2 linked regions of the Danio rerio genome follow. The protein of the gene in region 1 purifies or fractionates together with the protein of each later gene. This does not show direct contact. Links are inferred from orthologs where the notes say so. Each region holds a gene or a part of one and is shown on either strand. Other genes may lie near its edges.

The links. The genes of interacting proteins can lie anywhere in the genome.
Region 2: the proteins of klc1a (region 1) and kif5c purify together in Homo sapiens (co-immunoprecipitation; 4 studies listed by BioGRID and IntAct, counting the BioPlex papers as one, with this or other methods). This does not show direct contact. The link is inferred for Danio rerio from reciprocal best matches to the Homo sapiens genes KLC1 and KIF5C.

What each region holds. Positions count from the first base shown.
Region 1 is NC_133188.1:17,851,921-17,855,490, reverse strand, and holds part of klc1a (kinesin light chain 1), read right to left. Parts: intron 3,354-3,570; coding exon 3,180-3,353; intron 1,229-3,179; coding exon 1,129-1,228; intron 1-1,128. UniProt on the Homo sapiens protein: Kinesin is a microtubule-associated force-producing protein that may play a role in organelle transport. The light chain may function in coupling of cargo to the heavy chain or in the modulation of its ATPase activity.
Region 2 is NC_133184.1:24,807,843-24,811,412, forward strand, and holds part of kif5c (kinesin heavy chain), read right to left. Parts: intron 377-3,570; coding exon 188-376; intron 1-187. UniProt on the Homo sapiens protein: Microtubule-associated force-producing protein that may play a role in organelle transport. Has ATPase activity. Involved in synaptic transmission. Mediates dendritic trafficking of mRNAs.

The sequences.
Region 1 (3,570 bases):
CGTTGACCTTCATTATAACAAAAATATTTGTTTGCAAAGCCATGATACCATGGCCATGGAAAACAAGCAGCAATTATGAATGCATGATATATATGGTGTCATGGCTTTGCGATTAAAGAAAAATTATTATAATGGAAGTAATTAGAGCAAAAACATCCGCAAACATAACAAATGGGTAGTAAATTTGTCCATGGTGTATTGTTGAGTTGAGTCTCAAAGCCTTTTTTCAAAATAGGAGTCAAAATAAAGGTTGTCACCAAATTTATTCCATTTGCTGAAACACAAAAAAAGTTGTTGCCAAATTAAGACTCAAAATCACCCCAGAGTGATAACAGAAAGTTTACACACTAAAGAAGATAAAAGCTGAAGAAAGCTAAAAAGCTAAAAACAAAGACCTCCATAGTAGTAAAAAAAAAATGCTTTGAAAGTCAACAGTTATCAGCTTCTAGCTTTCTCCAAATTTAGTGTTTAGCAGAAGGAAGTCAAACAACAAGTTTGGAAGTTTGGATCAAGTAAAGGGTGAGTAAATGATGACAAGGCATGTGTATATATAAATATATACAACACTTCTGTCTGGTTCTCTAAACTGATTGGCTGATAGCCGTCCAATATTCCTGCAGTGCGATATATATATGTGTATGTCGTCACTGGTGGGACACTAAGACACTAACGCATGCCTCCTATATTTATCCTATATATTTTATTAACGCATGGTTAATGCAGTGCATTTTCATTATAACCCTTGCCCATAGTTGGAAAATATGCATCCAGTAAAGAATACAGCACTTATTGGAAATGATGAATGAAAAAGTTACAAACGGTAAGATTGTAAACATAATGACGTCTCATGGTTCTGTCAACAAGAAAAATCATTTCTGCAATCTGCATTTACTGTTTTTGTAAATTAAGTTAACACCACAGTGAACGAGTGAAACAGTGAACTGCTTCTATTCCCCCACATCAGGCAAACCACAACCAGTTCAAAGGGACTCCACAAGGTGTATGTACGTTTGCGGGATGGCTGAATATCCTCATAAATAAATTCCCCTTGTTCACAGGGACAAAGTATAAAGAACATTGCAAAACATTTTTCAGAAGATGTAAGAGTTATGAAAAAGGCATACATACCATCAACAGAACCAAATTCTCTCTCATGGGCTCGGGTGAGGATCTCTTTATATAGAGTCTCTGCCTGCTTAAATTTTCCCTGTTTCAGATAGCATGAAGCCTTAGATAGAGAGAAAAAATTATCATTAACAATTACTTATTTAAGCATTTATAGTAAATAAACAGTGTCCAGACTTACTGAGTTTTTACACACAGGGAAAAAGATGATAGACTCTATACAATCTAATTAAAGTAATTAAAAATAAGTATCTGACATTTAGTGTTTGTGCAATTTCAGCTGGTATTAATTTGAAGACTGGTATTATTTTTCTCATAAATATCTGTGACTGGTATATACAGGCATATCTAAAAATAACTGGATGAAACCCTAAACCCTTACTCTGGTAAAAGATGTTACAGTTTGAGAAGTTGTTACTCTAAAAGCATCTTCCATTACACTAAAAGCAGAATGATGCATACGTTATGTTTATAATCTGCTGAGATGACAGAAAACCTGCAGTAAATAACACTGCAGACCACACCATATGGATAGATTCCTTAAAGAGGATTAGTTCTCTTTCAAAACAAAACATTACAAATAATTTACTCACCCCCTTGTCACCCAAGATATTATTTTCTTTTGTTCGTTGGTTGTAAAGAAATTATGTTTTTTAGGGAAAACATTTTATGAATTTTCTCCAAATGCACTGTATAAAGGCGTTTCAACTATGTTCAAGTGGGAACTGGTGGTGTTTTATATATGTCATGTAGAGACAAACCAGGCGCCTTGACTGGACAGAACTAAAACTGCAGTTTGTTGCTTAAAATTGTTTGTGTGCTTTGGAAACAGTGGGTCAGCACTGCATACATTATGGTAGTGCTCAGAAATTAATCAAAAAATAGAAATTGCAAAGACGACCGAGTAAAGCTGCGATGGCTATGTACATTTTGTCATGAAGGTATGGTTGTGTGATCAATTGTAAAGCTCCTTCAAAATACCAGAGGGTGCTCTCACTTCAAACACCCAAGACGAAAAAAACCCAGGAAATCCCTATAGCATTGGATTATGATTAGAAAATTTTTCATTGATTTAGCAAGAGCTCCGGTTTCCCCCACAAGTCCAAAAACATGTGAATCAGGTGAATTGGGTAAGCTAAATTGTCCGTAATCTATGAGTGTGAATGAGTCTGTATGGATGTTTCTAAGAGATGGCTTGCAGCTGGAAGGGCATCCGCTGTGTAAAACATATGCTGGATAAGTTGGGGGTTTATTCCACTTTGGAGACCCCATAGAAATAAAGGGACTAGGCCGAAAAGAAAAAATCATTTAGCAAGACTAATAATCACATGACTATGGAATCATCTATTGTAACACAAATATCTATTTCATACCTTCGAATAAATTTTTGAGGCGAGTTTTGGCAAAGACCACCATTATTTTTTGTAGTACCACCATTATTATTTGCAGTAGTAATTTGTGAGCTCCGCTGAAGACCTCGATTTCCCCTTTTCCACCAGAATTTGTTGCTAGTTTAGAGTTAATGCTATTGCACAAAGACACTGACAGAGATTAGAAGCATTATGTTCTGCTGCCATTTCATATATGACACTCCAAACAGTTTGGGCATCTCATTGGTTGAGGTAATCCTACCCTCAGCCCAGATGCAAACTGTTCTTATTCCTAGCCAAGAATGCTTTGGTGCTGTTGAGAACAACTTAATCCTGATTTAGAGCCAGTGCTTTGAGTTCTGGTTCAGAGCTGGAGCCTAATTACAAATTGGTTCTTTGTCTTTTGATACTCAAACTACCTTGGAGGAAAAGAGGTATATATGGAAGATAAAGAAAGATATTAACACCTTGGATAACAAGGAGATGAGTAAATCTGTAAACTGTAAACACTACCCATTTTGCATGCTAACCCTAATCAAACACACAGGTCACTGCCTCGTTACCTAAAAAGGTTGTGTCAGGCAAAAAATACATGCAAAATGTGCATTGCTGAAGGGGTTTCAGAAACATGGCTGTGAAACACTGCTTTAAATAAATGGTGTGAAGTGTGAGGGGTGTTTGTACCAGGTTGTTTTTGGTCTTGGCCACATTGGGGTCATCGGGGCCCAGTTTGGTCTGATAGATCTCCAGGGCCCTCTGGTAGTAGTACTCCACTTCTTCATACTTGCCTTGGTTCTGACACAGTAAGGCCAGATTATTTAGCTGTTTGGCAACATCAGGGTGGTCCTTCCCCAGCACCTGACAAACACATGAATATCTCACATTATTGACCTGCTGCAGACTTATCTGTCACACTGACGGCTGCAGTGTAAACCACCAACAGAGAGTATATTACCAGGTTATTCAGTTGTTTGGAGAGGTTAGCTCTTACAGTATGGATTGTAATGCATACCATTGGGGCTGCAGGAATGAGAATCCAGCCTTTAAACTGAAATATACTTTTTAAATGTTGTTT
Region 2 (3,570 bases), on another chromosome or scaffold:
AAAATCTATATATCACTATTCTTAAAATGAGAAAAAAAGCTGTGAAAAAATGAAACTTACAAACCATTTAAAATAGAGCCGTTACATTTTTTCTTTCTTTTTAAAATCATCAGGAGATCAAAGAGAAGAATCGCCCATGTGTCTGGATACTGATCACTAGGGGGCGCAGTTGACTGCTTGTGTGTACCTGAGAAATCAGCATCTGACAGGACGCCAGCTCTTTCTCGTTGGCCTGCATTTTACGCATGGTGTCGCTCTGCGTGCTCTCTAGCTGTTTACTGCGGTTGACCAGAGACTTTACTTCTGACTTCATCTTACTGATGAAGAGCCGTGCCATAGTGAATTCCTCCTCCATTCCTCCATTCAGCTCTGACAACTGAATAAAGACAGAGAAACAGCAGGAACTCAGGTAAAAACCACTTCAATACATTTTAAATTACATCATTTAAATGAGCTCATGTAGGTTCCAGTTTAAAAGTATGCTGTGAGAAATTAATCATTTAAATCAATAATGCTAGTAATCAGGTGGTATGATGTTAAATTTATCAATGGTGAAGTAAACACATTTAAGTATTACAAAATTTATCAGTTTGAAACAAATGCTGTCATCTAACTTTCTATAAATAAAATAATTCTTATTTATTATCTCTCATACCTCATTGATATCACTTTTTTTTTTTTTTTTACCAAAAAAGCTGTTCCACCATCTTCAAATTATATAATGATAATCTAAGTACAGTACATTTATTATGTATTATACCTACTATATTATTATATGCTTATATACCAGTTAACATTAACATTATTTCTGAAGGATCATATGGCACAGAGGATTGGAGTAAAATTTTAAAATATTTTTTAACGATTATTAAATGTTTTAACAATTACGTAATAATTCAGTTTATATATATATATATATATATATATATATATATATATATATATATATATATATATATATATATATATATATATATATATATATATATATATATATATACACACACAGTTAAAGTCAGAATTATTAGCACCCCTTTGAATTTTGTTTAATAATGATGATGTTGTACAGAAATGATGTTAATAATGATGTTTAACAGAAAAAGGAAATTTTCACAGTATGTCTGGTAATATTTTTTCTTCTGGGGAAAGTCTTATTTGTTGTATTTCAGCTAGAATAAAAGCAGTTATAATTTTTTTTAAACACCATTTAAGACACAAAATTATTACCCCTTTTAAGCTATATTTTTTTCAATAGTCTACAGAACAAACCATTATACAATAACTTGCCTAATTACCCTATCCTGCTTAGTTAACCTAATTAACCTAGTTAAGCCTTTAAATGACACTTTAAGCTGTATAGAAGTGTCTTGAAAAAGATCTAGTAATATATTATTTTCTGTCATCATGGCAAAGATAAAATAATTCATTTATTTAAAATGAGTTATTAAAACTATTATGTTTAGAAATGTGTTGAAAAAATCTCTCCATTAAACAGAAATTGGGGAAACAAATAAACAGGGGGGCTAATAATTCAGGGGGACTAATAATTCTGACATCAACTGTACATACAACAGTTCTGTCTGGTTCTTAAATCTGATTGACTGATAGCTGTGAGATATTTAAGTAATATCAGCACCCGTACAGCCTCTTTACCCTTTGTGTATTACTCTGCCCACATCCAGTCAGCAACAAGCAAAGGACAGTCTACAGTTTGACAAATATTTCAGCTGTTGAACAACATCATAGATATATACATTAGATGTCGCCTACCCTGTTGTTGTCTATTGGAAGGTATGCGTCAATAGAGCCGCCGTTTTAGTACAGGGTAAGACTGGAGGACTGTGGCCATCTAGAGCCAGATAATTACACATATATACATATATCTATGATCGGGAGTTTTATCGGAGGTCAGTATGCTAAATTATTTTTATAAATTACGAAATTATATTTTACATCACTTTTCTACATTGATGGACAACTGATCGCACAGGCATTCCCGAAAAAAAGCTTATGTTTGTGTTTATGGAAATGTACTATCTACCCTTCCTGAAACACACCTCCTTTACTGCTTTCACTTCTCATACTGACGAGGGGAGCTATTCGTTTGTGAATGAATCTCCGTTTTGATAACTCCTTTACTAGCCGACAATAATACAAGTTTTTGGCAGCGCAGCATCTCATTTTCATATTTCTTTTGCATTGTTTGCTGATTTTATTCAACAAAACTAGCATAAGCAGAGTATTTAGTGTGAGTTGATGCTACTTTGCCTTATGGTGAATTCAGTAAGTGACTGTATTATCATCAGTAACGTTACCTGTGCAGCACAAAAGTTCATAACATACAAAAACGTAAAAAACTGAATCTTACCTATGTAATGTTCTGCCTCTGTGCTTTGTTTCCTTTGTTTGCTTGTTACTACACCCGTAGACAGCGCTAAAGTCCAGCATTTTCACGTAATAACACTGTCTTGACTAGTGCGGTTGAATGACACTTGTCCTGGGAGCACTGTACAAATATGGCGGCGCTATCGACACATGCTCAGGATCCCTTTGTGATATCTAGTGTATATATCTATGGAACAACATAATGTGCTTTTGAGCCTTTTTTTAGTCAAGAATGTACTTGTTTAGATTGCAACTATGCTGTTTATTTATAAGAATAGAGCCTATTTTAAAATATTTACAAATTCTAAGAGACAGCTCGTTGGCGGCCATAGTCTGCCATACTGAGTAGTAGACTAAAGGCGGTTGACGTTTTCATTTACAAGATGGCGACAGGACCGCATAATAACATATTATAGAATACACCTTAAAAGAGACTTTGATAACAAACCCTTAGAAGACTAAGGGTGCTTTCACACATGTAGTTCGCTTCATTTGGTCCGGACCAAGGGTAATAAATGATACAAATGCCGTCTTTGGGTTGTTTTCACACCACACTGCTGGCTTTAGTCCGAACCAGTTGAAACGAACTAAAATGCCCTCATCTGACAAAATCACATCTCTCATTGGCCAGATGTTGTTGAACATATTTCCTAAACTGCTTATTGATTGGTCAGAATTCACGTGCAGGAAAATGCCAGTGAACTCCCGGAGGTAAACAAAACCTTTTACTCTGGAGGGACGACTGCGCTGGCTGATTGTATCCTTGCTTTAGACAAACTATACATTACGAGAATGAAGCGCGGCCGCGGCTGGAAAACAGTGTTTAATGCATCGCTCGTCACTTCAGGAAGAGACGTGAATTAATTTAGCTAAACTGTGACATGGTCATCTTGCGGAAATATTACCAACGATCCATCAGGTAATGTTTTCCCCTCTCTCCCTCTCTGTTAGTAAAGCGCTGTCAACAAATATTTTTCCTCCATATCCCATAATGCACAGCACATAGGCCTACGGCAGCTGAATTGGTCCAAAATGCGCAGTACTTTTTGCGGTTGGACCTGTTTTAGTACGAATCATATTCTCACCACAAGCTAAACGCTCCAGGGTTCGTTTGAAAGCTTACCGAGACCACCTCTTCAAGCAGGTCTCGGTACGCTTATTTGGTCCGCTTTTGGTGCGCACTCG